4 linked regions of the Elephas maximus indicus genome follow. The protein of the gene in region 2 purifies or fractionates together with the protein of the main gene of each other region. This does not show direct contact. Links are inferred from orthologs where the notes say so. Each region holds a gene or a part of one and is shown on either strand. Other genes may lie near its edges. The genes, in order: PLEKHJ1, OCRL, RAB1A and SNX9.

Region 1 (7,519 bases), on a different chromosome or scaffold from region 2:
CTGGAAGCACTTTGAGAGCAGCAGCTGCTGTGATTGTGGGGGGGCCGACTCCCACTTTTAAGGGCTCTCACCTGTTTAGGCCAGCCCACCCAGGATAAACTCCGTTTTGATTGATTCAAAACCATCTAATTTGACACTTTAATTACATCCGCAAAAACCCCTCGCCTTTCCTTTACGTGATTGGTTAGATGTGTCACAGGTCCCACCCACATTTGGGGGCGTGTCAGGGAGTTGGACTCATCTTAGGGTTCCCCCTACCCCCTACTCTCCCTACACTTGCCATCAGGGCCTATGCTAGAGGCCCCGTGGGGTCCGGACCTTTTCCCACCCGGGGCCTAGGGGCTCCTCCCTACCATGCAGCCAGCGCCCCCTAAACTGACAGACGGCTGGATCCCCCAGCCCCCCCATTCTCATCATCACCAACCAGTAGAAAAAGAGGTACGTTTATTTCAACAGGAGCACATGGGCGAGGGTGGCCCTGTCCAGCTCCGCCCAGAGGTGTGGCCATGGCACCGCCCCCCGTCAGCAGGAGTGAGTTCACATTGGGGCAGGCGGTGGTGTCTCCACGCCCTTCACAGCTTCACAGTCTGACTGTACATTCAGCCAGCGGGAAACCCCCTGCTCCTCCAGGGGGTAGCTGGGGGCGGGGCGGCCCGGTGCCAAGAAGTGGACGCTTGCCCCCCGGCAGCCTACAGCAGCAGCGGCCCCAAAGGGTGGCCAGTCCGTGTGCGTTCCTCCACAAGGGCCACCCTGCACCCCACCTGGCCTTAGGGAAGACAAAACACCTCCCCCACAAACCCAGCCTACACAGGGGAGACCCAGGAGAAAGGGCTCATCCAGCCCTGAGCAAGGGCCTCGCCAGTCCAGGGGCTCATGCCTTCAAGCTGCTCAGCTGGAACCGGGTCTCCTCAGAGATGCCAAACTGCTCCAGGGGATCCTGGGAGGGGGGCAAGGGCAGGAACAGTGAGCCCTGGGCCCGGGAGGACCTCGCCGCCGCCCGCCTGCCCCGCACTCACCTTGCCTGTCATCTTCTGGATCTCGTTTCTGTAGAAGACAAGGCTCCTCCGCATGAACTCGTAGCTAGGGAGACAGAGGAGGTGAGTGGTCACCGGCTCCATGGTGCCCGCTGGTCCCCACAGATGCCCCGCCCCGCTGATGCCCCACCCCCTGCTCCCCTACCTGGCCCGGCGCAGCGCCTCAATCCACTCCTGACACTGGTTCTCACTGCAGCACTGAAAATGGTACTTCCTCTCCGTGTCCTCCACGAAGGCTGCCGGGGGTTGGGGCGGGGGGGCGGGAGGGCCTGTCTGTCCCGCTGGCCACAGGCCTCAGCTTCCTGCTGATACTGGCCACACCCTCACCACTGCCAGGCCCGGGCCAGGCCCGCCACTTGCCAGCTTCCACTGACCCCAGGATTTTGGGACCCCAGCTTGCACACCTCACGGCCTTGCTCATATGCTATCACCTGTCTGCAACACCACCCCTCTTCTCCAGGCAGTCCTCCTGGCCTCACCCCTCACAAACCACACTGAGCTGGACACACCTGTACCGGGCTCCACCTCCCCCTGCACATTGGACCTCAAGAAGAGAGCCCAGAAAACGGAGTATGAAGACATCCCAAGAGATCAGTGCTTAATCAAGCAAAACAAAGTTCTGGTGGCCTTTGGGGGAGGGGCTTGGATGCCGGGTGGTTCCTCCCCACCATCATTCCCCCCCACTATCCCAACAGCTGGAGTCCAGCCTGGGCCCCATGGGGAGGGCAAAGTCTGGGGCGAGGCCGCTGGGGAGGAACCCCGCCTGCAACGGCCTTGGCAGGTGGACAGGTGGTGTGCCGCCCAGAAAGAAACCTGACCTTGAGCTGCCAGGGACAATGGCCCCTTGTTTCTGGGGAACGGTGGCGCCAGGCTGGGGAGACAGGTGGAGCCTCGGGCGCCTGGGGAGGGGACGACGGGGACCCCTGCATGTCAGTGCCGGGGATCCGGCTATCCTTGCCACCAACCCCACTCACTGATGGAGAAGCCGCTGGGCTCTTCCCGGTTGACTCGGCAGTGCTCCAGTACCAGGGCTCCGATGGGCTGGAGATACACGTAGAAGCGGATGGGGGCGCAGGTCACCCTTCCCCAAGGCGCCTGCCCCTTCCTGGCCTGGGTTTCCTCCCCCTCTTGGGGGCGGATTCCACGAAGGAGTCTGAGACAGCAAAGTGACAGGACCAGCGCCCGACTCCTAGCTTAAAGGGGGCAAACAAGGCACTGCAAACCCAAGGGCGGGCTGGTCCCGCTCGTCCCTGGGACCCCCGCCCTGTCCGGACAGCGCCCCTACCTCGGCCTCGTCCGTCCGGAAATAGAAAAGGAAATTGACCACCAGCTTCACCAGCCGCCGCTTCACCACTGCGGGCACAGAGCCGGCTTAGGGCGCGTGGCCGAGGGGCCACTCCCGCGCACCCCGTTAACCCGGACCCCCGAGACCCGGAGACCGCGCACCCCAGCTCCCTGGGCGCCCACTCACCGCTGCCCTTCTTGGGGCCCCGCATGCCCAGCTCGGCCGCCATCTCGGCCGGCTGCCGGGATAGCGCCTGCAGCTGCTTCTCGTTGTAGCGCATGGCGCCGCCGGGAGAGAGAACGCGATCCCAGACCGCCGCCCTCTCGGCCGCCGTCCCTGCCGGCGCCAAAGAAAGTCTCAACTCGCAGCCCGGAAGTGCTGCCAGAGTCAGTGCCCCTGAGCGCTACCCCGGGCTGCTAATCTCGTCCCTAACCGGTGCGTGGCGCTGGTGTCCGGGGGCCGGTGGACAGTCATTACTCATTACATCACCTCAAAATACATTGCCCCGGGGTGAAGACAAAATCAAGGACCACCCAAAGACCGGCGGCGCCCTTAATGGAGGAAGGGGGAAGGCAGAAGGGAACAATAACGTTTTAGAGAAGAGCCATTCCACCCTTCTCGCGATAGCTGACCTCGCGAAAGCTGAAGACAACCGAGAGTTCGGCGGGAGCGCTGTGCGCACGCGCGCTCCGGCTTCCGGCCCGCACTCTGAGCCCCATCCCCTTTCCCTTGTGCGCGCGAGTGTCTCTCCTGCGCCTCTGGCCGGGCCGAGCATGCGCACACCGAGGCCCTGCGCCGATTGCCCCGGAAGTGCTTCATTAGTCTGCGACGCGCGAACGCGGGGCCGAGTGGTGGCGGCGTCTGTTGCGAGTGAGTAGCGGGCGGCCCGGGGCGAGGGTGGCGGCCACCGAGGGCCTGGTTTCCCTGAAGCGTAGCGGATGCGGGAGAGAAGCGCCTGTAACGGGCCGCGCGGCTTGCGGGGCGCGAGCCGGAGGGCGGGCTGGCGGCCGGGTCGCGTTCCCCTTTCCCGCCTGGCGGAGTCGGGCTCTCTGCACCCGGGTTCTCCCCGGTGCCCGCGCATCGCAGCTCGGCGGAGGGCCCGGCCCGGCGAGGCCAGCCCGACACCCCCTCTTCCGTCTCGAAGCTCTCCCGGGAAGGACCCGCTGAGGTCTGGCCACTGGGTAACAGTAATCGCGGCTGCAGTGGTTGTGAGCTGCCGCTTTGTAACGGAGGGCTCTTATGGACACTGTTTTATCTCCGTTAGTTGATTGGCTTTGTGATCGGGGGAGAAGCACTTAATCCCTGGGAGCCTCAGATCCTTTAACTGTAAAATGGGGGTGCCAGCGGTAACCGGCCCTGGGTTAAATAAAGTGTTGGGGAAAACTATTGAAAACGAAATCTATGCCCAACCCAGAAAACCTGTGCACAAAAATAGAAGGAAAAGAAAAGTTTTGCTATTCAGTAAGTATTAAATCAGAACTGATGTATCACAGGCAACCCACTGAAGAGATGGCAGAGAGAAGAAATCTGATCCGTTATGTGGGTGAATGGATGCAACTCATTGCATTGAAGTGTTGAAGATAATTGTTAATTTTCTAACCTTTATAGCTCAGATAGGGCTGGGCCACCTGTTTATGCTAATCGCCTGCCAAGGAAAATGGGAACATAGAGGAGGATTACAAGTTATCTAAAGTGAACTCTGGTGGCGAAGCGGTTAATCGCCCAACTGCTAACAGAAAGATCGGTGGTTCAAACCCACCAGCTGCTCTTAAAGAGAAAGACCTGACAATCTCCTTTTAAGACTAAAAACCAAACCCATTGCTCTTGAGTCGATTCCGACTCAGAGCAACCCTGTAGGACCGAGTAGAACTGCCTCACAGGGTTTCCAAGGAGCGGCTGGTGGATTTGAACTGCCGACCCTTTAGTTAGCATCTGAGCTCTTAAGCACTCCACCAGCAGGGCACCGACAACAACAAAGTGAATTCTGAAGAAAATAATAGAGATGGGGCATTCCTTCTCCTGTTTTCACGGGAATTCAAATCTTTTGAATTTGTCCTTTCAAAGGCCATTTGGGTGATACACGTTACACACCGTAAGAACCCAAAAAAAACAAACCCGTGAGAGCAACTGGGAAATATTAGCCATCACCACTTTACAGGTGGTCCTCAGGTTGCATGACTTGCCCAGGTGGTCAGACCTTGATGCCGGGCACTGCTGCTCAGTGCTGTCTCCCAGCTTCCCTTTGGCAGCAGGGAACAACTGGGAGAAGCTCTGGGAAAATGTTTGCTAGGATTAAGGAGCTAATGCGCAGTGGAGGTTCAGTGGTAGAGTTCTCACCTTACACGCAGGAGATGTGGGTTCCATTCCTGGCCAGTGTACCTTGTGCAAGGCCACCACCAGTCCATTTGTCAGTGGAGTTTTTTCTGTCACTGTGATGGTGAAAAGGTTTCAGCGGAGCTTTCAGACTAGGATGGGCTAGAAAGAAGGGCCTGGCAATCAGTCAATTTCTGAAAACAGCTAGTGAGAACCCTGTGGGTTCCACGATCCAGTCTGCAGCCGATCATGGCAATGGCACATGACTAGGCAGCGAATTGTTCCATTGCGTGTGGGGCATTATGAGGACAGCAGCTAACAACAAGATCGTAGTGTTTTGTCAAAACCTGCTATTCCTTCTCCCTTGTTCAATCTCAGCTCCCAGAAGCCACCTCTCTACAGTTTTTAAAGGCAATTCTCTTGGTCTTTGATTTGGTAAATAATATGCTTATGTCTTACTTTATTCATCTTGGGCATTATCTCCTGGCTTCCTACCAGGGTTGATGAGGGTTTATTTGTCCTATCCACCCCAGCTTCTCTCTCCATGCCTCAAACTCGATTACATCAGAAGTTTTTTTTGAGTCCTTGACTGTCTGAAAATGGCTCTTTCTTGCCCTCTCACTTAGTCTCCCAAATTAGACGTTTAGCTGGGTGTAAAATTCTAGGTTGAAAATGTGACGGTCATTGGTTTTAAGCTTCCAGTGTTCTTGAAAAGGCTGGTCCCATTCTGGTTTCTTATTTTTTGCTTGTGACTGGTTTTCATTTTGTTTAAAAAAACAAAACCCATTGTGGTTGAGTCAACTCCGGCTCATAGCGACCCTTTTAAGACAGAGTAGAACTGCCTCATAGGGTTTCCAGGGACCAGCTGGTAGATTCAAACTGCTGACCTTTTGGTTAGCAGCCAAGCTCTTACCCACTGTGCCACCAGGGCTCCTCTTTCTGGTAGAGGTTAGGGTTTTGCCTTCGTCCTTGGTAGTGTAACATTTCACAGTCCATTTGTTGAGGGTCTTGTGTTTCCTGGATAACGTTCTCCTCTTCTTTGTTAGTATTCTGTGCTGCTTTCCCGTTGTCACTTCGTGGAACTGTGTCTAAGTTCGTTTTTTTCCCTCGTATTTTATTCATCGTTTTCTTCTTTATGAGTAACCTGCTTGACTTTTACTTTCAAGTTCTCGTGTTGAATTTTAGTTTGAGTCATCTCATTTTTGCTTTGCAGGGGGGTTGGTTTTTTTTTTTTGTTTTTTGACTTGTTAATGTTTGGCACTTTATTTCAGTGTCTTGGTACAGTAACTTGTTTTCTGGGAGAGAGGTTAGTGGTAGTTACCTCATTTATCTTTATTATAAGCCTGCAGGTAGGCAGTGACAGGTATCCTATTTTACAGATGAACAGACAGGTTGAGGCAGTTAACTGATGTGCGCTGATCACACAGGTGATATAGTCAGAGCTAGGATTTGAACCAGGCCTGTCAGGCAACGCCTCCAGCACATCCTTTCTACACACAGGAGGCTCTCGGCTGATGTTGGATTAGGAAGGTGAACGATGTGTCTCGAAGAGCTTTCCACTGGGTGTCTTTTTTCCTCAAACGTGGTGGGACAGGGAACAGCAGCCGGTGTGCTGTGTGTGCGCCAACCTCGGGCCGGGCTCAGGCCATGGCATTGGGCGGCTCTGGGCACCTGATGGGGCGAAAGAGGGCGAGACTTGCAAGTCCAGGGTGTTGGTTGGCATATGAGTATCCTGTGGCTGCTGTGACGGGTCACCACAAACTTGGGGACTTAAACTTGTTCTCTGGGATCAGCTTCACTGAGTGTCATCCAGATTTCTCCCGGAGGCTCCACGAGAGACCGTTTCCCCATCTTCCCCAGCTTCTAGGGGTCACGGCATTCTGCAGCTCGTGGCCCCTTTCTCCGTCCGCAAAGCCGGCAGGGGAGCATCTTCCAACCTCTGCCTGCTTCCGTCCCCACTGCCCTGACTCTGACCCTCCTGCCTCCCTCTTACAAGGCCCCTTGTGATCACATTGGGCCACCTGGGTGATCCCGGATCACCTCCCCTTTTCAAGAGCCTTCACGTCATCCGTTCGGAGTCCCTTTTGCCATGGAGGCCCCATATTCACAGGTCCCAGGGAGTAGTACAGAGACCTCTCTAGGGGCCACTCTTCTGCCAACTACACTCTGACTGCTGGCCCGTCCCCGTGAGCAGAGACAAGGTAGCGTGTGTCTAAAATCCAGGGGCATACGTGGAACACTCGAGCCTGGGCTTGGATCTGAGCTGAGCCAGAAGGAGCACAGGGTGCACAGTGGGAGGGGAATACTTAGGACTCAGGGAAGCCACCTCGCCCAGAGATGGGCCGTGACTGTTTCCTGTGTGTCCAGCAGGAAGGACCCAAGAGGCGTTTTCCTTATCTTTAAGAAACTGACCACCGAGCCAGAGAAATAGAATTAGAGGTAGATGGTGAGTGAGTGTAACCGACCAGAAAGGGAATTCAGAGAAGGGAGCAAATGCCACAGGCCTGGGCAGTCGGGAGGGCTCCCTGGAGGAGGGCCTCCCTGGCCCCAGCACTTGGGGCTCTGTGAGCTCAGTGTTGCCATTTCCGGTCTCCGGGCCTCTGGTTCCCCTGGCTGAAGTGACCCCCTCCCCCCACCCCAAGATCACTGGAACGAGCCCGGGCAGGTACCTTGCGCTCCAGGCAGATTGTGGCCCCCTTGTTTCTGGAGGCCTGCTCCACAGGAGACCTTCAGCCTCCTGGGAGAGACGGTGAAGGTCAGAGGGTGGTCCTGTTGGGGGTCGTGTGGGGCTGTGAGACTAGGACAGCTCCATGTCTCCCCGCAAGCAGGGTTACCTCTGCATGCCACCTCTTCCAGGCCGAGGGTGGGTACCAGCGATAGCATCACC
Region 2 (7,527 bases):
TGCCTTCTTTGATTTGTTCAAAGAAGGTTTAAGGTGAACCAACAGCTTCTATCGTAACCTATTATCCTTAAAAAAACTGAACCCTAGTGTTTGATTCCCCATTTCCAAAAACCTTTTTAACTGTAATTTTGGCCTCTCAAATAAAGTTCTCCTAAACCCCAGTGGCGTAGTGGTTAAGTGCTACGGCTGCTAACCAAAGGGTCAGCAGTTCAAATCCCCCAGGCGCTCCTCGGAAACTCTATGGGGCAATTCTACTCTGTCCTATAGGGTCGCTATGAGTTGGAATTGACTCGACGGCACTTGGTTTGGTTTTGGTTTTTTATGGTTGCAAGCAAGAGCTACAGCCCTGAAGATTAAGATAGGCTTCAAATTATAGGATAAAAAGGCCCAAAGTAAAAAAAATAAAAATGAAAAAATTCTGGCTACCCAAGTCAGAGAAGGCACCCAAAAGACTTGAATTTGAGATTATAGATAGTATTATGGTATTAGGGGGTCTCCAGGGAATGATTTTCAAAAACCTACTCAGATAATGTATTTCTGAGATAGGTTACTGATTGAGAGTCAAGCCTCCCTACGTAGCTGGGAGGAGGCATGGAGTAGCAGTTGCGAACTGGGGCACCAGAGCTATGTTGCAGAGGTTCAGAACTCAGCTATGATACTTCCTGTGAAGAAGTGACTTAATCTCTCTGTACCTCAATTTCTATACCTATAAAAGAGGGATGATGATCATCATCTTGCTATTTCATCATAATCCTCACATGAGGGTCAAATGAACTGATCTGTCAAAAGTGCTTTGAACATATTGAGCCATTAAATGTTGGTTGTTGCTATAATACCTTATACAGAATTAGAACACAAGAATTTGATTTCTCCGTGAAGAAGATACAAATAGTCAGGAGAGCTACCGTTGTGAGTTTAAGAGTACTTCTAGTATCAGAGCTCCGATAGGATGAGGCGCTTATTTATCTCAAGGCCAGCTGCTCAGTCGCTTATTAGCTGAACAGAGTTCCAACCCTACAAAACCAAGACACCAGATCCTAGACTGTGGTCATTTCCATAAGGAGCTATTCGATTTAATCCCCATAATCTTGTTTTTACAGAAGAGGAAACTGAGGCACAAAACATTTCCTGGTTTGCTCAAAGGTCACATTTCAAAAGTGGCACAACTGAGAATTCAACCCAGGTCTGTGGATTCCACATCCATTGTTCTCTTCACCCCATCTTAGCCTTTGGAAGTGGCAGTGGTATTCCAGGTTTTAATCCATTTTTCTGTTGAACTTAGTTTATTAAACTGGTCTTCCAGGGTTTGCGGAAACTGGAAAAATAACATGAATTTCCCACATCAACAGAAATGACCAAGCAGGGCCCAGGGAAGAGCTACTTCACAGAACCAGATGATGTCCAGTTAAAGTGGTTCTAATAGTCTCAGAAGAGGACAGGCTAGGCCAGTGGACATTTTTTCTGTGTAAATTAGATAGCCAGACACAGACTGAGTCTGGAGATTCTGAAAGTGGGGGCTGAGGGAAATTGTTTTTAGGCAGAATCCAATATTGGGAGATGGCAGGGTTGAAGGGGTCGACACTTAACCTCAGGAGAAATCTGACATCAAGAAACCAGTGGGCACCTACAGGAGGTGACTTGGGCGCACAGAGATAGGGGCCTCTGATATGTTGTGGTCTCACCATGGATACTTTGGAGATGAGGCGTTAGTAGCAAAGGAGTGAGATCAACAGCTACAGTGATTAAAAAAAAAACTTTTCATCAATCCATCACCAGTATTTACTGAGCTCCTATGTGCAAACTGCAAGATGACACACACTGATAAAATGTCAAATGTCATTTACACTTCTACAGATTTCATTACCCTTTCTCTCTCAATGTGTGAGGCCTCCACAAAACTATTACTGAACTAATGACTCTGCATTCCTTAGAGTGAGTTGAAAGGTTTTGAATTTGGTGGGATGGGGGCTGGGGAGACTGGAGGAACCAGTTGAATGGGGTTAAGAAAAGGCAAGTCTTTAACTTTTGTAGTGCAGCAATTCTATAGCGCTTTAAGTTTTTGTAAAACACTTCCCCATTTATTAATTATTCCTCTAGTTATAACTCCAAAGGCTATAAGGTAAGGCAGTTCATATTTTTACTTAAGCAATGAGGACACTAAGCAAGCTTTATTGACTTACCCAAGGTTACACAACACATGTCAGTTTGCAGGGACAGGAACTAAGAACCCAGGCTTCCTGCTTCCCTGCCCACTGAGTCCTCCCACTAAGCCACACTGCCTGGCACAAGCTAGCGGCTTGGAAATTCAGGGCACAGCCCCGTCGTTACAGAGCACTCGCGCTTCACACCTGGACCTGAACCTGTTGCCCGCATGGCCTCGGTGGCAGGAGGGTGGCAGGGTGGTCGCGGTTTGGGGGTGGGGGTAATGGCAAGCTCCCTTCTCTGTGGGATCTGGTGGTTACTTACTCATATTGCCCGTTCCTCTGGGCTAGGGTTAGGGCGCAGGGCTCCCGAAGGGGCCCGTTCATCTCCATACCCTCGACAGTATGTGGGCACAGGTTAAGGGTCTCCTCTAGAAGCGCGCCCAGGGAGGGTGGTGCGGTGCGGAGGGAGCCTCCTGCCCCTCTGCCCGACCCCCCGGTGTCGCCTCCTGCACCACCCCGCACCCCCTGGCATTGCTCGGCCTCTGGGCCCCACCGTCCCCCGACCCGGTCCCCAGGATTCCGCAGTCCCCCGGCCCCCACCCTCGGCTCGGCCTCCCCTCCCCCTCCTCTCGGGCGGATACGGCAAGGGGCTGGGCTCCGACCGGGAGCGGCGGCTCCATCCGGGCGGCCTCTGGGCTCAGCGGGGCTGCGGACTGCGGGCGGATCCGACGACGCTGCCTCCCGCGTCCTCTCCCCCCGCCCGCCGCTGCTGCGCGTCGCTTGAGGAACGGCTCCGCGCCGGGAGCCGGGAGCCGGGAGCCGAGAGCCTGACCCGAGAGAGAGCGGCGCCTCACGCCCCCGCCGGTTTTCCAGTCCGCCGCAGATTCCGCCCCCTGCGGCCAAGCAGCGGAACTGCAGGGAGAGACCCGACGGACTGGGGGCTTCTCTACCACGTCCAGCAAGGAATGCGTTTTCAGTGCTACCTGTGACACCCGAATGGTTCTGGGTACTTTGAAGATGACCACAGAAGCAAAAACGCAGTCATACCTGTAAGGGAACTCACAACGTGTTAGGCCAATAGGACCTATATCATCCAGTCAAAAAAAATCCTTATTAATGTTTTAACGCACCGCGGTGGTTATCCTACCTCTCAGATGTTCTTCCAGTCCTCTTCTTTCTTCTATTCCTAAGTAGGAAAATCCCCCAAAGCTTAGAGCCTTGTTCCTCCTTTGCGCCCCTTCCAAAGCAACTCTAAGCAGGCAACCTCCAAATCTATATCCCTGGCCCAGACCTCTTAAAAACCAAAAACCAAACCCAGTGCGGTCGAGTCGATGCCGACTCATAGTGATCCTATAGGACAGAGTAGAACTGCCCCATAGAGTTTCCAAGGAGCGCCTGGGGGATTCGAACTGCCGACCCTTATGCTTAGCAGCCGTAGCATTTAACCACTACACCACCAGGGTTTCCCCGGAACTCTTACCTAATATATATTCCATTGTTAACATAACACTAACGAAACTCATAATAATTTCACCCAGACATTTAGGCTTAAAACTGCAAAGCCATGTGCTTTCTGCCGCTCTCCTAATTTCTCTGAATCCAATCAGCCAACAAGCTTCGTTAATATTTTCTTCGCAATTACTTTTACTCCTTGTTTTCTCTCCACCAGTACTTTATTGTAAGCCTTTGTGATAGCCTATCTGGGTTACTGCATTTTCCCCAAATAAGTCAGGTTGGATTTAATCTCTCCTTTAACCATTTTACTTTGTTCACAGTCATAAAAATATTCTTCCCAGAGTAATGTTTTAACTGTGCTTAGTTAGCTAGTGTTGCTGTAACACAAATATCACAAGTGGATGGCTTTAAAGAACAGATTTTTTTTTTCTTACAGTTCTGGAGGCTAAAAGCACAAATAAGGGTCTCAATGGTGATTCTGTGTAGGTAGTCCAGGGTGAACCCCTCCCACCCGCAAGCATTCCTATCTCTGCGTCTTAAAACAAACCAACCAGCCAGTTGCCTTCTAATTGATTCCGACTCATGGCAACCCCATACATGCAGAGTAGAACTGCGCTTCATAGAGTTTTCACAGTTATGACCTTTCAGAAGCAGATGCCAGGCTTTTCTTCCAAGGTGCCTCTGGGTGGGTTCAAATTGCCAACCTTTTGGTTACTAGTCCAGTGCTTAACCATTTATACCACACAAGCACTCCTCTATGTCTAATCTGCTCTTTTTATAACTCAGAAGGGATTAGATTTAGAACTCATCCTACTCAGATATTATATAATTAATGTAACAAAGAAAACCCTATTTCCAAACAAGATTACATGCACAGGTATGGGGTTAGGATTCCAACACACTTTTTTTGCGGGGTGGCACAATTTAATCCATAGCAAATTGTGTTATTTATCTGCTCAGACTCTACAATGGATTAGAAACCAAGACTGATTTTAAAGCTATAGTAGCTAAGACAGTATGGTATGGAGATAGACAGACCAATAGAACACAGAGCCCCAAAACAGACCCACACATAGATGGAAAGCTGATATTAAGCATACGTGACATTTCAAATCAGTGGGCAAAGAACAGATTATCCACCAAAAAGTGCCGGGACTATTGATTACCCATAAGTGTAAATTATAAAATTAGACCCCTACCTCATACCACAGAGGGGAAAAAAATCAATTCCAGGTAGATTAAAAATCTGATTGTGAAAAAAGAAAAATTTTACAACATTCAGAAGAAAATAGAATATCTTTATGACCTTGGAATAGGGAGTAAGAATGATTACTTGATACTAGGAAGCATAAACAATAAGGAATAGGTCAATACATTTAACTTAATTAAATTTCAAAATGTATGTACTTCAAAACATGTTAAAAGACAAGCCACAGACTAGGAGAAGACATTTTCAATTTATAAAACAAACAAAGGATGACCTATGAGGCTCTACACTTTTGGCCATCATCACATTTCTGACTTTCTTTCCTACTAATCTTAGTCACACTGGCTCCTTGATGTTCCTAGGACTTGACAGGCACGCTCTTACCTCAAGGCCTTTTTACTTCCTGCTCCGTCTGCTGTACCCTCATATCTTTCACATCTTTGCTCAAATGTAACTTTCTCAATGAGGCCTTCCCAGACTGCTTTATCTAAAATTAGAATTCAACAATCCTTCCACCTCAAGTAAACATGCTCCTTATTTCTCTTCCCTGTTTATTTTTCTCCAGAGAATTTATTACTATCTATTATATTTTATTATATAAAAAAATACTATTTTACTTATCGAACTTGTTTATCATTTATCTTTCCCTATAGAATGTAAGTTCCATGAGGGCAAAAATTTTTGTCTGTTTTGCTCATAGCTGTATTTCCAGCGCGTCAAGCCCTTCCTGCAACAAAGTAGATGCTCAAAAAATACTGATTAAATGAATGAATGAATTAGTATCCAGAACATATGAAGAACTTCTATAAATCAGTAAAAGAAAGAAGCTTAGTAGAAAAATTGACAAAAATATATGAACAAGCTATTCATAGACAAGAAAACCCAAACAGTCATTAAAGATATGAAAGTATGTGCAACTTTTCAGGGAAATGCAAATTAAAACCATGAGATACTATTTCACAAACATCAGTTTGGCAAAAATTTAAAAAATCAGACAACACCAAGTGCTATTGATGATGTAGAAAAGATAGAACTCTGATCCACTGCTACGAGTGTAAATTGGTAGAACTGCTTTGAAAAGCAATTTGACAATGTCTGATAAACTCGATCTCCACGTATCTGTCAGTTTGTAATACTATGGGGGCTTGTGTGTTGCTGTGATGCTAGAAGCCAAGCCACCAGTATTCAAACACAAGCAGGGTCACCCATGTGGACAGGTTTCAGCTGAGCTTCCAGACTAAGACAGACTAGGAAGAAGGATCCGGTGATCTACTTCTGAAAAGGATCAGCCAGGGAAAACCTTATGAATAGCAGTGGAACATTGTCTGATATAGTGCCGGAAGATGAGCCGCCCCAGTTGGAAGGCACTCAGAATACGACTGGGAAAGAGCTACCTCCTCAAAGTAGAGTCAACCTTAATGACATGGATGGAGTAAAGCTTTTGGGACCTTCATTTGCTGATGTGGCACGACCCAAAATGGGAAGAAACAGCTGCAAACATCTATTAATACTCAGAACATGGAACATACGAAGTATGAATCTAGGAAAATTGGAAATCATCAAAAATGAAATGGAACACATAAACATCAATATCCTAGGCATTAGTGAGCTGAAATGGACTGGTACTGGTCATTTTGAATCAGACAATCATACGGCCTAGCATGCCAGGAGTGACAACTCGAAAAGGAATGGTATTGCATTCATCATCAAAAAGAACATTTCAAGACATGTCAGTGATAGGATAATATCCTTACACCTACAAGGAAGACCAGTTAATATGGCTGTTGTTCAAATTTACGCACCAACCACTCAGGGCAAAGATGAAGAAACTAAAGATTTTTACCAGTGTCTGCAGTGTGAAATTGATCAAACACACAATCAGGATGCATTGATAATTACTGGCGATTGGAATGCAAAAGCGGAAACAAAGAAGAAGGACCCAAAGTTGGAAAATATGGCCTTGGTAATAGAAACAATGTTGGAGATCACATGACAGAATTTTGCAAGACCAATGACCTCTTCATTGCAAATACCTTTTTTAACCAACATAAGCAGCGACTGTATACATGGACCTCGCCTGATGGAATACACAGGAATCAAATCGACTACATCTGTGGAAAGAGACGATGGAAAAGCTCAGTATCATCAGTCAGAACAAGGCCAGGGGCCGACCGTGGAACAGACCACCAATTGTTCATAAGCAAGTTCAAGTTGAAACTGAAGAAAATTAGAATAAGCCCAGGAGAGCCAAAGTATGACCATGAATAGATCCCACCTGAATTTAGAGACCATCTCAAGAATAGATTTGATGCGTTGAACACTAAGGACCAAAGACCAGAGGAGTTATGGAATGACATCAAGGACATCGTATATGAAGAAAGCAAGGGGTCATTAAAAAGACAGGAAAAAAAGAAAGCAAGAGACTCTGAAACTTGTTCTTGAACGTCAAGTAGCTAAAGCAAATGGAAGAAATGATGAAGTAAAAGAGCTGAACAGAAGATTTCAAAGGGCGGCTCCAGAAGACAAAGTAAAGTATTATGATGACATGTACAAAGACCTGGAAAAAGAAAACCAAAAGGGAAGAACACACTCGGCATTTTTCAAGCTGAAAGAACTGAAGAAAAAATTCAAGTCTTGATTTGCAGTGGTGAAGGATTCTATAGGGAAAATATTAAACAATGCAGGAAGCATCAAAAGAAGATAGAAGGAATACACAGACTC
Region 3 (7,349 bases), on a different chromosome or scaffold from region 2:
GCACAGTCTAGAATATAACAGCAGCCTAATGGTGAATGGAGCCCCGGTGGTACAGCGGTTAAAGCCCTCAGTTGCTAACTGAAAGGTCCACTGTTTGAAGCCACCAGCTGCTCCACAGGAGAAAGATGTGGCAGTCTGCTTCCATAATGAACCCTTGGAAACCCTCCGGGACAGTCCTACTCTGCCCTACAGGGCTGCTGTGGGTCAGAATCCACTCGACGGCAATGGGTTTAGTTTGTTCTTTTTTTTTTTTTTAAAGGAGAATACTCGAACCTGGAAAAAAACTGTAAAAACTATTTCTAGGTTTGATTCTGTTGAAGTCAATAACCCATAGCACTCAAAAGAACGGATGGTCTGACACCATATTTACTAAAGAAATACTGTCTTTATAATTGAAAGTTAATAAATTTCCAACTATAAAAGCAGTATATATGAACTGAAAAAGGTAAAAGTGTAAAAAAAACTTACAACTGAGAAAGTAACCATTAATATTTTAAAGAATTTTCTTCCAGTTTTCTTCAGCGTATTTTAATATCATAATTAAGATCTTATTGTAAGCAGTTTTGCATCCTGGTTTTTCACTATTTTAACACTAATATTTCACCAAGTAAATTCCTCAGAAATGTTCTTTTTAAGGTCAGTAAAATAAGCCATTCAACAATATAATGTTTTCTTAAAAAAAAAAAAAAGTATTGTTCTTGCCATTTATCAGCCATTCCTCTACCTTTTACCCCCTTGGAAAATCCTCATTCCCTTCTGCTTCACCAAATCTAATTGCTTCTAATTCCCTTACAGGTCCGTTTCTATAAAGGTCAGACCTTCCATTTCTTTCAAGCCTTCCTGAACCAAACCACTCACTCGCCTCTGAAATCTGGTTGCTTAGATTCATGCCACCTATCTAGAACTTGCTGTACCTACTGGTATTTGACATATATGCAATCTATGTTCTATATTCCCTTATAAACTCCTTGATGGTAAGGATTAGATCCCTAAATCCCAGCACTACTATAATGCTTTACATAACGATGTACACCACCTCAAGAGGACTCTTATAGTTTGAACCTCACGAGGATCCTGGTAGGAATAATGACGGGACCATTATCCTATTTTACAAAAATAAGAAACTTGTCAAGATTCTGTTCAACTAATATTTAAGATCTATTTACAGTACTGCATGCATGTAGCAAATATGAAAAACTCCCTGAACAGCAGAGGTTTACACACCTTCATAAGTGGTAAATCCACGTCCTCTACTGTTGCCAGGAAAACTCTGTCCAACTATGCAAAACCAACTTTGTCCTTGGAGCCCCAGATAAAGAAATAAAACACTGTCAACACAGCAAATATGTTACTACAAGTGCGCTATCCTCAACTTCTCGAATTATATAAAATTCTAATAAAATACTATGACTTCTGTTTAGTACAAAAGAAAGAACATTCCCACATCAAACCGCAGCATTACCAAACTTGAAGTCAGAATGCATTTTGCAAGAGCCATGTGACATACACATGACAGCTAATGAGTGGACTTTTCAAGCGGAAATGTTAAGCAAATAAACTCAACTTTTAGGACAAACGCTGATTTTTGCTTTAAAAAAAATTTCCCCTCTCCTCCTAAAAACTGCTGACTCTAAAGAGAATTATCAATTAAATCTTTTCCAAGTATTAATTTATATATATGTGCACGTGTGGAGGATACTGCAGGAGGATTTTTTCAATGGACACTGAGAAGAATCCTACCAAGTCTTCCCAAGGAAAGTAAACACCAGTTCCCAAGAAAGGAGCCAGGTGTGTCACATCTGCTGTGGTGACTTCTGAGTAAGCAAGAAAAAAAATGCATTAACTTTTCATGACACGTCATGGAGCCTCATTCCCTATCTGCAAGCATTCAAGCAGGTAATACAAAACCTACAGATCTACCATAGGTCCCATTCGTTTCTCTTTCAACTTGACAGCAAAGGATTCCTTGAATTTGGTAATATTAGGAAGACGGTCCTTGGTTTCAGTTTTGTTCTTTTATTTGACCTACGGAAAACAAAATGACTTCTGCGTCCTCCTTATAAAAAATAAAAATAAAAAAAACTCCCAAATGTCCAGGTTCTTAGGAAAGTAAGGGCCCGGCGAGTTCTTAAAGAACTCCTTCAGAAAACTCAAAGAGAGAACAAAAATTTTAAATCGCTTCTCGCCAGCTACTCATTCCCCTCAATCCCACGCAGTCCTGAAAAGCATCCATATTACCTGCAACCTGGCGGGGAGGATGGGAGGAAAGAGTAAATAGCCTCAGAATTTACAAGTAAAGCTGGTTTCTACCCTGGCGATCCTGACAGCTCCGCAGGGTGCAGGAACAGGGGCTGATAGTGCCCCGTTGGAGAGCTCTCCTACCTACCTCCGACCCTAAAAAATGAGTCCTTCAAAAGTCACTTCCTCCAAGAGAAGCTACCTCTTCCCACCGCCCCACCACTCAACTCCCAACGCCTGAATCCCCCCTCCCCGAAACTCTCTCGCGGCCCCTTCCTCCTCACCGGCCCTGCACTACGGCCTTCCCACCTGACCGGGTCCAGGCTCCCTCGGCTCACCCCTCCGGCCCGCCCCCTCCCCCCGGCCGCCCCTCCGCCGTCAGACAATGGGGCCCGGCTCCTGGCCGCGGGCCTCTCCCGCCCCATCACCCTCACCTCACCCCGGCCGAAGCCTCTACCCCCGCCCTCCTCGCCCCCTTTGAGATTCCCCAAGCTAGCCCACGGATCCAGCCGACCGGTGCTCTCCTACACTCACTATTCGGGATTCATGCTGGACATGTCACTGCAGCTGCCGCCGCCGCCACCGCCGCCCTTGCTGCCGCAGCCGCCGCCCTGACTCTCCGCGCCACAGATAATCAAAGGAGAGGAATGAGATAGGCTGTTCCGGGAGAGCAAACGTCTTCCCCCACTTCGTCCCCTTAGAACACAATCAGCAGCCGCCGCCACTCAGCTATCGCTTCCACCCAAAATGGCCGCCGGCGAACCAGGAAATAGGGAAGCCTTAGACCGTGGGGCCTTTACACGGCCAGGGGGCGGCCGCACCGCATGGCATGCCGGGAAAGAGAGTCGCAGGCCGCGTCTGTGAGCGCTAAGGACTGACGGTGCAGCGCAGGGACCAGGACTCAACTTCCCGCCAAGCGCTGCGCATTTGGTGCATGCGTATTTGACGGGCTGTGGTCCGCCTCATTCCCCCCAGTTTCACCCCCACCCAGCCGCTCCTCCCCGTTCCCCTCCCTGCTGACTCGCTGGCTAGGTCTTCGCTCGGACTCCCCCTAGCGGATTGGCTAACGCCGAGCTGCCCTGGTGATGTCATCAGTGAGACGTGGCAGCCGGGCGAGTCAGCGCCCCACGGGGGAGGGGGAAGGGAGGGGCAGAGCGCAGTGCTCGGGGCCGGCGGAGGACGGGGGTGGGGTGAGTGCAGGGGGCTGGGAGAGGAGGGAGGGAGGGGTCAGACCGGAGGGACAGCCTGAGTGCCGAGGCGGGCTGGCCGGGGGTGTCGGAGGACACGCCTGGCGGGTCCGCCTCTGGTGCGGCTTTTGCTGGCCTCACCACCTTGGGGCTTGAGCTTCTAGGCCGGTCCCAGGATGCCCGCTCTCAGGATAGAAGGGAAGTAAAAGGCACTTTGCCAAAGACTTCGGGTCTCTGGAAAACACAAAGCCGTTCTTTCAGTTCTCTTCCTCACTCTTCCAGTGGGTCCGATCATCCCAGTATTGGCCGCACGCAGTCCCATTTTCTTGATTTCTTTTCATTCCTATTCCAGCCCGCTCCTAGCACCTCACCCTGGATATTGCGGTAGCTTCCAAATGGACTCTGCATCTATTTCTTCTCCACCCCAGCCCATCTTGCACACACGGCCAGATTTATCTTCCCGAAACAGCACTTTCATGTTGACTACCCCACATCTTCAATGGCTCCGCATTCCGTGGATGAGACACAGCCCAGAGTCAGCCTAAAATTCGAGGTCCCTCCTGTTCGAGCCCCAGCCTTTGAGTGGAAGTGTACTGTCTTATTTTTAATTGTTATTAGTACTGAGCCAATCTGTAAGATTGGACAGTAGTGAGGGATAGAAACGCTCAATACATAACTAGAAACTCAGGGAGTAATATTGATACAATTTTGAAACCTTGTGGTCTTAACAGCTCTCTTTAATCAGTTCAGGAATTTAAATCACTAAACTTTTAAGACATTATCTTGGGTTATTTAATTACGAAGGGCACAGTATAATACGTTGTCCAAAGTTTATCTTCCAACTTGCTCTAGGAACCAAGAAAATTATCTCCTAAGGCTTATTGCAAAATCATTTTATATTCTCATGACATCAAAGTATAGAAAGAAGGTGGTTCTTATTTCTCCCCATTTTTACTAACTACAACTCTTAATCCCCAAATAGTGCTGGCACCTTAGTTGATAACCTCATCAAAGGTACACTAGAGTTCCTTCACATTATGCTGGTTTCTGAAATGAACACAGTCACTACCTCAGAAGAAGGACCCAGAATGGGTCAACGATAGACACCCTGAACAGTAACATACCTCAGTACTTCTAGCTTATTGAAACTTCATAGAATAAAAAATGAGAAAAGGGCTCAAGGACTTCTCCTGAGCCAAAAATGCAATTTTTAATCTCTCCTTCCTCTTGGAAGCATACCCCCAAAGTCCTTTACTTATTTCTTTTCCTAGCAAAGAAGTACCTTCTAATAACTTTTAACCTAAATTGGTTGTGAGAATGAAATAAAATCGAATAGAATTGTAGAACACAATGACTTTTTGAGGGCACTGGTTAAAAATTCTCTTTATCCTCTTCCCTGCAAGTTTTAAGTGTACCTGCTATACACTAAGGACAAAAAGCTTTATATCTCATTATGGTATAATATGCAAGTAGCAGCTTGAGAGTGGTGGGTGGATGTTTCAACTTACTTCAAGTTGTTTAAGTCTCCAACTGCAGCAAGTCAAGAAATCTAACAACATATTACATTGGGCAAATCTGCTCCAAAATACCTATTTAAAGTGTTAAAAAGTGAAGGTATCATTTTGAGGAGTAATGTGTGCCTGACCAAGCCATGATATTTTCAGTCTCCTCATATGCATGCAAAAGCTGGACAATGAATAAGGAAGATCAGAGACAGATTGATGCCTCTGAATTATGATGTTGGTGAAGAATGTTGACTATACCATGACTACCAGAAGAACAAACAAGCCTGTCTTGAAAGAAGCCAGGGTGCTCCTTGAAAGCAAGGATAACAAGACTTCGTCTCATGTACTTTGGACGTGTTATCAGAAAGAACCAGTCCCTGGAGAAGGACATTGTGCATGGTAAGGTCAAAACAAAACAAAAAACCAAACCCACTGCCGTCAAGTTGATTCTGACTCATAGCGACGCTATAGGACAGAGTAGAACTGCACCGTAGAGTTTTCAAGGAGCGCCTGGCAGATTCAAACTGCCGACCTCTTTGTTAGCAGCTGTAGCACTTAACCACTATGCCAGCAGGGTTTCCTGGTAAGGTAAAGAAAAAAAAAAAAAAATTTTTTTTTTTTTCTTTAGGTAAAGAGTCAGCAAAAAAGAGAAAGACCCTCAGCGAGATGAATTGACACAGTGGCTACAGAAATGGGCTCAAACATGGCAATGATTGTCAGGATGGCGCAGGATCTGATAGTATTTCTTCCTGTTGTATATGGGGTTGCTATGAATTGGAACTGACTCATCAGTACCTAACAACAACACTTTTATAGTTAAGATTAATAACTCAGAATAATTCATTAAACTAGCATGAGTCTTATAGGCTGTCCTCTTGTTGAATCAGAACTCTGCTAGGGCTGTTTGTCTCTTCTTTTTTTCTAACTTTCATTTCTCCGTCTCTTTCCACTTTTTTTCTTCATCAGGTATTCATGAGCTGACACAAAAATGTGTCTGGAACTTATGCTTAAAACAATGTGTTAAATGTGTTTGGAACTTGTTCTTGGAACAATGGGAAATGCAAAGACGAATGATTATAACTGTCTGTCTTCAAGGAGATTACAATCCAGTGGGAGAGATGTGTACACAAACAAGGCATAGAGGGGCAAATGCAAAGATAGATTAAAATGATATGAGATGTATAGGGACAGGAATCAAATCAGTGATTGGCAGGAACTAGGATTGTCAAGAAATCAAACAACGTATTGCAGGGGGCAAATTCGCTGCAAAAGATCTGACAAAGAAAAATCTCATACTCTGTTAGGAGTGAAAGAAAAGGGGATTTATTGAAGAAGAGTAACAGCTATAGCTGGGAAGCACTAGGTAAAAATACAAAGTGCTCCAAAATTTACAAACGAAGGCAAGGTTTTTTATACAAGAAGGTTAGAGTAACTGCAACTGCAAACAGACCTTTCTTCATATCAGTTAATCTATTTTCAAACACATTCTTCTAGAGGGCAAGCATTTTTTTTTTTCTGAGAACGATCCACACACCCTTCCTAGAATCATAGTCAAAGAAAAATAACCACATTTGTTTGCAAAGCAAGACTTGTTGATGAGAAAGTGGCACTAATACTTAACAAGCAGCAGGAGGAGTTTAAAACAAAATGGAGTCTGATTCAGACCTGTGTCAGCCATTTTAGTTACCCCAAGCTCCTCAGTTTTAGAGTGCTCTTTCACAGACCTCTTTAAAGAGTTAAAAAGCAAAGATGTCACCTTGAGGACTAGGGTGCACCTGACCCAAGCCATGATATTTTCAATCACCTTATATGCATGCAAAAGCTGGGCAATGACTAAGGAAGACCAAGGAAGAATTGACGCTTTTGACTTATTATAGTGTTGATGGAGAATATTGAATATACCATGGATTGCCAGAAGAATGAACGAATCTGTCTTGGAAGAAGGACAGCCAGATTGCTCTTCAGAAGGAAGGATGGCAAGACTTTGTCTCACATACTTTGAATATGTTATCGGGAGGGATCAGCCACTGGAGGAGGACATCATGCTTAGTAGAGTGTCAGTGAAAAAGTAGAAGACGCTCTATGAGTTGGATTGACACAGTGACTGCAACAATGGGGTCAAAGCAACGGTTATAAGAATGGTGCAGAACTGGGCAGTTTTTTTTCTGTTGTACATAGGGTCGCTGTGAGTCAGAACTGACTTGATGGCACCTAACAACAACAGGTATGGGAAGGAAGGAATTGTTTGCTAAGGGACACAAGGGAACTTTTTGGTTTGATAAAAAATACTCTATATCTTGATTGCTGTGGTGGTTAATTACTTAACTGTATATGTTTATCAAAACTCATATAACTGTATACCTAAAAGAAAGTTGATTTAACTGCATGTAAGTTATACCTCAATTATAAACCTAGTATT
Region 4 (7,781 bases), on a different chromosome or scaffold from region 2:
TGTTGACTGCTTATTATGTACATATCATCTTGCTAAGTCCTTCAGGTTCATTATCTCGTTTAGTCCACACAACAAACCTGTGAAGTAGGTACTATTATTACTCCCATTCAGCAGTTCAGGGAATTGAGGATTAGAAAAGTAACGTGTGCCTAAGTAATGTACCACAGTTTGTAAGTAACAGGATCCAGATCTGTTGGCATGAAGTAAGTGCTCCTAAGGATGAAAGGAGGAAAAAAGAGAGAAGGGAAATGGCAAGGGGGCTGTATTTGTGTTTTGTTAAACCACCATACCTATATCTAACAAACTTCAAGTTATCAAAACATGAATTTTTAAAACTACCATTTCAACGTGAAAAATGTACTCAGGACTAGAGATGTTCTGAACTACAACAATGAAGTTATTATTAATCTCTGCAGCGAAAACAAAAGTGCTTTTAACACCGTAAGTCCGTAACCATAACACCCAAACATTACTGAACAGATCCAGGACAAGAGTTAATGGTCATTCTTTTCCTGTCACCACCAGCCTGTCACCAGCACAGGGCTTCCTATAAATCCTTATCACCCTATCTCCTTTGTCCTGATTAAAGGGCAGGAAGCCTAAACAGAGCCCCTCTGTTGTTCTGGCTACAGCTCTTTTTTGTTTTGAAAGTGCAGTCTAGTTATAACCAAAAGTAGTTTGCAAATGCAAATCGAATTTCTTAACTAACCAACTGCGTTCTCACCAATGGGCATAATGGAAACTCAGGCTGTAGAAGAAATACCTGAATTTAGCTGTGCCAGCCTCAATGTGAAGGAGCCCTCGTGCCTCATCCATTAAGCACTCAGCTGCTAACCAAAAGGTTGGCGGTTCAAACCTATCCATCCACTCTTCAGGAGAAAGACCTGGTAATCCGGCTCCATAAAGATCACAGCCAAAAAAAACCCTATGGGGTAATTCTACTCTGTCACGTGGAGTCGCCATGAATCGAAAGCGGACTCCATGGCACCTAACAACAAGGCTCAAAGCTAGGCTCTTCACTCTGAGCTTAGGCCAGTGTAGGGTGCCACCTTCAAAGTTGCTCAAAGGAACATATAGGGAAAGATAAGGAAGAAAGAGATGTGGATGGGTGATCAAATGGAAGCAGAAGACAAAACCACCTACTTCCTAACTTTGCCCAGGGCTCTTTGTGATTATCCTGAGTGAAATCCATTTTCTAGTTTGGGAAAAGCCACTCTTCCACTGGGCGCCTGGACTTCATGCTGAAAAGATGCTATTATGCTTCTCCCAATGTGGGCAGGAGGGCGCTGAGTGGTAGCTGCTAACACAGCTGAGATTGGAGTCCTTATCCTATTCTCAATAGTGACTCTTGAGGCCTTCAAGCAACTCCCTACAAGCTTCTCACCTAAAATGGTTTTTAGTTTGAAAATGACATGTTCAGGGATCTGTGATAGAGAGGTAGGTGCTTGTTCCTTCTCGGGCTTAATATGCGGACTCGAGTAAGTCATAACGTCCCTGGCCCCTTATCTGCGGCTGTAAAGGAGGGATTGACATTTTGCAACTCCGTGTATTTGGCAATTATATCCAGACAAATGCCAACCAATAGACTAGATAGTACATTATCGATAAACATGTATAGTTCAATGATAAGTCACACTAAAGTTATCCTGAACATGATTAAAATTTCTATTTATTGCATTTTTAATAATGAATTGGGCACTACAGTTCCAGGAAATACTGTTAAATTTAGCAGTTTTATGTTCATATGCATTAGTCAAAATCCTCACTTCATAAAATGTTGTCATAGCAGAATATCCCTTCTATGGAGTAGTAATTTTTTTTAACAGAAGTTTATAGTATATAAAATAAAACTTGCAGAAATCTTGTACTGTGCAATGTTTCGCATTACCTTCTGTTCCACGTAATCCTGAGTTCCTTGAAAGTATATTTGGGCAAATGCTATAGTGCTTAATTTGTGATTGTTCAACTGTTCTCATTCATTCATTTAACAAATATTTAGTGGGCTCTTACTCTGAGCGAGGTGTTGAGCTAGAGACACGGGATATGACGGTGATGTGACTGGTGTGTAACTTCAGGGGTGTTCTGAAGGACCAATGGGAGATTAGCTGGTGTGTGGAAGGGGGTGGGGAGAGTATCACCTTTTCATTTCAGACAAAGGAATAACAAACGCAGTATCCTTGCCAGGACCAACTACCTAATTTTCAAGGTCTTGTGAAAAATGAATATGTGAGGCCTCTTGTCCAAAATCTATTAAGAATTTCAGGATGGTGGCAGCAGAGCGTTAAGCCAAACATGGGCCCTTCTAAGCAGGGGACCCTGTGCAACTGACTACACAGGTCATATGCCCAAGAAGCTGGTTCTGGTCCTCTCTGTGGCAGAGGCCGCAATGCTCAGGAGAATCTGAGAGGCCAGTGTGGTTGAAGAAAGAGCTCTGGAAGGTGGTGTGAGATGGAGTTGGAGATCAAGTTCACCTGAAGCTGAGGTGAATGACATCCATGACTTCTGAGTCCTCTAAAACAATGCCATGGTGTGTTTACTACTTCAATGATATCGGTAGCGATTTTGTTTTTATTTAAATATTTTGATTGGTCTGCATCAGTCATCCTGAGTGTGGTGTCTCCATCATTACTCCTAAGATTGAAGCCAGGGCTACAGAAAATGTTCAAGTGGGAAAAGATTGGACTTCTTGCTTTCTTGGTTCTAGGTGCCCAGGATGGCTAGTTGCCCAGAAGTTCCCAGTTGAACATGCTGAAAGGCCTATCTTCACATGTATGACCCTGACTTTCCTATTAAAGCGTGTGTTTTAAATTTGAGTATAGGAAGCTATACTCAAATTTAAAAGAATATGATGAACACCTTACTTATAGTATTACCTGAGTTCAGATCCTGACATCGTCACATACTGGTACATGCTCTTAGTCATTATTTAGTTTTTTGTTTATTAAAATATGAATTCATGTTTTTTTTTTAAATAGTTAAAATAATACATATCCTTGGTCAAAAACTCTGAAAATAGCATCCCGTGAATCTTTACAGAAATTGTCTAGGCATATACAACATATCTACCTATTTTTTACACAAATGGATTGTACTATACATAACGTTCTTTTCACCAGTACTAATACCTCTTAAAATATTACCATTTTCTCGTGGGCTGCCTTGCATTTCATTTGTATGGATATACCGTATTTATTGAGACAGTCCTATTAACAAACATATTGGCTGCTGTCTGGTTGGGATTATTACAGAACAATGCTTTAAGGATCATCTTTCCTCACTTGTGCAAGTCTGACAAGAGGATAAATTCCTAGAACTGCTGAGTTCAAGGTTATGGACATTTTCAGTTTTGACTGCTGAGCAGTATTGCCAAACCAGGCAAGTTATTTCATTTAGGCTTGATTTCTTCATACCTGTAAATAGTGAACAATAACGGCTTTCCCAAAGGTTCCTTACAAGGATTAAATGAGATAAACGCATGTAAAAACTACAAAAAAAAAGCAAGTAGGCTGTCAGTGAATATGTCTTTGGCTTTCCTTTTACTTATAAAGACAACTATTTATGAATATGATGATGACTCTAACTTTGGCCATGAGCTCAGCAAACACAAATTTCACATGAAATTCTGTAGTGTTATATACCTTGAGGGGCCCTGCTGGCGCAGTGGTTAAGAGTTCCGCTGCTAACGAAAAAGGATGGCAGTTTGAATCCACCAGTCGCTCCTTGGAAACTCTATATAGTGCAGTTCTACTGTGTCCTGCAGGGTCACTATGAATCGGAATCGACTCGATGGCAATGCATTTTTGGTGTTTATTAAGAAAAACACTTTATTTAATATAATTAAGTGAAATCTTCAGAGATGTTCGAGAGGACACAAATGTGACTTTAACTGTAAATACCACTTCCCTAGCTTAATAAAACTGACTTGATGGATGACTCTTCTAACATATATCACTGATAATAAAAACAAAATGTACTAGATTATTATACCAACCAAGATATATTTTCGTCATGAGTTCTGTACTTGAGTGAAAATTTGGCTGCTCAAGTCATCCATTTATTAATAAAATCCATACATACAACTCTGAAGAAAAAGTTTTACAAAAAAGAAAAATTTTAGACCTTTTATTTCCACTTCTGATGACCTGTTGTCTTCCCCAAAACCTCTGGGGCCCTGAGACATTTTAATTTATCAAGAGTCATGAAAGAGGTTAATGAGACGCCTCAGAATGCAAGCCCCGAGAGTCCCGGCCCAGAAGCTCTAGTCGAGATTCCAGCCCGCGGTAAAACTCCAGGCTGAGGCAGAACCTCCTTCAGGAAGGACGGGTCCTCCCAGGAAGCCATTGCGCCTCTCCTTCCTGGCTGTTGATTTGGCACTCAGTTACTTTGCCCCGAGCACAACCGACCCCACAACCCTCCCGACACAGACAAAGTCCCCGATTGAGTGGCCCATACCCTGCCCGGGACGTGTATAGTGATTAGGGCCACACTCCTGCACCCCGCACGTAAATCTAAGTCCCCGGAGCGCAGCGTCTACGTGGGATTAGGGTCGACACACAAGCATGTCTCCACTGTGTTGGAACGTTTAATTCGCGGCCGCCTGGCTCCGTGACCCGTGTAGCCGGCCCCGACCCCTCCGGGCAGCGGCCCTCGGGCGTTGGGACAAAAGACGCCAGGCGGCTGCAGCGGTCGAGGCTGTGCGAGGGGCCGGGCGGGGCGGAGAGTGGGCGCGGAGGCCGGCCGCCGAGGCCCGGGCGCGCTTCCGCCGGCCTGTGCGCCGCGCCGCGGTCAATGGGCGGCCTCGCCGGCAGGGGCGGGGGCCGAGCCGGGCGGTTCAGGGACCGGAGGAGTGGCCGGCGGCTGGAGTCTCCGAGCGCGACGCGGCGGGGCCTGAGCGCCGAGAGTCGGGCCCAGGCGGAGCCGCCGCCGTCCTCGCTGGCCCGCGCGGCCCGACCAGCCGCGGCGCGGGAGAGGAGCCGGCCGTCCCGGGCCGGGAGGCCCGCCCGCCATGGCCACCAAGGTGAGGGGCGCGCGGCGCAGGCCTGGCCGCCGCTCGGCGCCCGGAGCACAGGAGGGTCGCCGCCCGGGAGGCTGAGGAGCCGCGCCGCGTCCTCTGAGGGGGGCCGGGCCCCGCCGGGGCTCGGTCGCGCAGGGCGGGCAGTGACGGGGTCGTTCGCACCGAGGGCGCTGGAGGCCCGCTCCAGGCGTGGAAGGGGCGCGGGCGGGCCCCCAGGACGGGGGACCCCGGGACGAGGGGGGCCTGGCCGGATGGGACGCCTCGCACGGTGCCCTGTGCAAAGTTTGCACCTGAAACCTGGCGGGAAAGTTGCCGCAGCTCGGAAGTTTCCCATGCGGACGGCCCCTTTGCAGAGTTGGGGTGGTTCCCGGGCGCCCCCTTCTCCGCGGTGCTGTGTTTTGGAGGCGGGAGCCCGAGGGGCGCGCCCTAGCCGCCGCTACCTAGTGCGGGGCCCGTGGGGCCAGGGCGGGTTGGAGTCCCCGAGCCCGGGCCGCCGAGCAGGGCTGGTGGACGGCCAAGCCACCCGGGAGCGTTGCGTTCATTTAATTGCAGTTAAACGCTCCGCGTGTCGACTTCGTTTCTCTTTTTATTTTTCTTGTTTTGCTACATTTTCAGGTTGAACGGTATTTCCAGCATGAATAAAATATAAAGAGGGAAATGACTGTGCTTTCAGTGACGTGTTTGCTTGAAAAAAGGCCCACGCCCGAGCTACATGGTGGAACTTTGACTAGGGAATTGGTCAGGAGGGTTCGTTTGCGTGTTTTAGTCTATTTGTGAAATTAGCAGTCACCTTTTGCTCCCAGAGTCAGCAAAAGCCACACTCCCCAGTTCCCTTTTCCTGGGGCGTTTTCAGTAGATACTTGATGTAAAATATTAACAGGTAAAGCCACTGTCGCTGCATGAGGACTTGGAATAGATAGGCGGCTCCTGGTTCAGTGTGCTGTTGATAATGTGATACGGTTTGGGGCTTGGATTTACTTTTGCAAATAGTCACTGTAGTATGACCTTCATAAACATCAGCACCCTTTTTCTGTCTGGTTTGAAATCTATAACCTACTTTTGGAACAGTGAAAACCTTAATTTTTGTTTGTTTGGCTTTTGTTTTTGGGAGAGGGTTACTTAGAAAAGTGATTAGAAACTTGAAATTTCTTTGAAAGGTGAGAATTGTCTCATTTCATTTCAGGCTGTTAAATTTTGCGCTCTGAATTCTTCTTAGTGTGTATGTTCATCTCCAGGTAACCTGTTGCCTGATGTAACTGAAATTATTACCTTCTTGCTAATATATTATTGGACATACTGGGTTTTATTAGATGGGATAGAACTTGCCCCACTTGCTTAACACATACTAATTTTTTGTTGACCTTTTTGAAAACAAAGCTTAAGAATTTCTCAGGAAATTTGATTTTGAGGTATGTTGCCAAACATTCCAGAAATCACCAGTTACACATCCCATTATACACTCATCTTGCATCCTTACACGTGATCATAGTGTTGTGGTATTTTCCACTCTGACGTATCTACTGAGGCATGTTACATGTACTTTTTAAAAAAAAATTGTTTTTCTTGTGGAGAATATACACAGCAAAACATACCAATTCAACAATTTCTACATGTACAATTCAGTAACATTGATTATATTCTTTTAGTTGTGCAACCATTCTCATTCTCCTTTATCGAATTGTTCCTCCCTCATTAACACAGACACTCACACGTCTAAGTCTCTTATCCAGTCTTTCAAGTAACTATTGTCAATTTGATCCCATGTAGATAAATCTTAAAACACTCAGTGCTCCAAGCAGACATTCTTTACTTAAGCTGAACTGTGGTTTTGAGAAGATGTCAGGGGATATTTTTGGTTTACGGTTTAAAGATTATCTCAGTACAATAGTTTCAAGGCTTCATGCAACTGCCGTGGCTCCAGAAAAGCTGGATTCCATGAACATGAAATTCTGTCTGCATTTCCCCCCTTTTGATCAGGATTCTTCTATAGAATCTTTTTTTTTTTTTAATTTTTAATTGTACTTTAGATGAAGGTTTACAGAACAAACTAGTTTCTCATTAAACAGGTTTTTTTTTAATATACATTGCTTTATGACATTGGTTAACAACCCCATGACATGTCAGCACTCTCCCTTCTCAACCTTGGGTTCCCTATTACCAGCTTTCCTGTTCCCTCCTGCCTCCTGGCCCTGGGCTGGTGTGCCCCTAGTCTCGCTTTATTTTATGGGCCTGTCCAGTCTTTGGCTGAAGGGTGAACCTCAGGAGTGACTTCATTACTGAGCGGAAAGGGGGTTCGGGAGCCATACTCTCAGGGTTTCTCCAGTCTCTGTCAGGCCGGCAAGTCTGGTCTTTCTTTTTGAGTTAGAATTTTGTTCTACATTTTTCTCCAGCTCTGTCCAGGACCCTCTATTGTGATCCTTGTCAGAGCAGTCAGTGGTGGTAGCTGGGCACCATCTAGTTGTACTGGGCTCAGTCTGGTGGAGGCCGTGGTAGATGTGGTCCATTAGTCCTTTGGACTAATCTTTCCCTTGTATCTTCTATAGAATCTTTGATTAAAACATTCAGTAGTGGTAGCCAGGCACCATCCAGTTCTTTTGGTCTCATGGCAAAGGGCACAGTTGTTCATGGAGGCATTTAGCCTCACATTCGATTTCCCCCTCTATTCCTGGCTCTCATTCTTTTTCCTCTTGCTCCAGCGAATGGAGACCAATTGTACTTTGGATGGCCACTTGCAAGCTTTTAAGACCCCAGGCTCTGTGTAGTGAGC

The links.
Region 1: the proteins of OCRL (region 2) and PLEKHJ1 purify together in Homo sapiens (co-immunoprecipitation; 3 studies listed by BioGRID and IntAct, counting the BioPlex papers as one, with this or other methods). This does not show direct contact. The link is inferred for Elephas maximus indicus from reciprocal best matches to the Homo sapiens genes OCRL and PLEKHJ1.
Region 3: the proteins of OCRL (region 2) and RAB1A purify together in Homo sapiens (co-immunoprecipitation; 3 studies listed by BioGRID and IntAct, with this or other methods). This does not show direct contact. The link is inferred for Elephas maximus indicus from reciprocal best matches to the Homo sapiens genes OCRL and RAB1A.
Region 4: the proteins of OCRL (region 2) and SNX9 purify together in Homo sapiens (co-immunoprecipitation; 3 studies listed by BioGRID and IntAct, with this or other methods). This does not show direct contact. The link is inferred for Elephas maximus indicus from reciprocal best matches to the Homo sapiens genes OCRL and SNX9.

Annotation. Positions count from the first base shown.
Region 1 is NC_064821.1:3,016,806-3,024,324, forward strand, and holds PLEKHJ1 (pleckstrin homology domain-containing family J member 1), read right to left. Parts: upstream 3,015-7,519; 5' UTR 2,952-3,014; intron 2,656-2,951; 5' UTR 2,600-2,655; coding exon 2,506-2,599; intron 2,388-2,505; coding exon 2,320-2,387; intron 2,076-2,319; coding exon 2,009-2,075; intron 1,271-2,008; coding exon 1,180-1,270; intron 1,081-1,179; coding exon 1,017-1,080; intron 938-1,016; coding exon 872-937; 3' UTR 428-871; downstream 1-427.
Region 2 is NC_064846.1:26,926,610-26,934,136, forward strand, and holds the start of OCRL (inositol polyphosphate 5-phosphatase OCRL), read right to left. Parts: upstream 3,010-7,527; 5' UTR 2,825-3,009; coding exon 2,786-2,824; intron 2,547-2,785; coding exon 2,467-2,546; intron 1-2,466. UniProt on the Homo sapiens protein: Catalyzes the hydrolysis of the 5-position phosphate of phosphatidylinositol 4,5-bisphosphate (PtdIns(4,5)P2) and phosphatidylinositol-3,4,5-bisphosphate (PtdIns(3,4,5)P3), with the greatest catalytic activity towards PtdIns(4,5)P2.
Region 3 is NC_064835.1:71,584,358-71,591,706, reverse strand, and holds the start of RAB1A (ras-related protein Rab-1A), read right to left. Parts: upstream 3,019-7,349; 5' UTR 2,796-3,018; coding exon 2,773-2,795; intron 1-2,772. UniProt on the Homo sapiens protein: The small GTPases Rab are key regulators of intracellular membrane trafficking, from the formation of transport vesicles to their fusion with membranes.
Region 4 is NC_064819.1:230,099,610-230,107,390, forward strand, and holds the start of SNX9 (sorting nexin-9), read left to right. Parts: upstream 1-4,768; 5' UTR 4,769-5,005; coding exon 5,006-5,017; intron 5,018-7,781. UniProt on the Homo sapiens protein: Involved in endocytosis and intracellular vesicle trafficking, both during interphase and at the end of mitosis. Required for efficient progress through mitosis and cytokinesis. Required for normal formation of the cleavage furrow at the end of mitosis.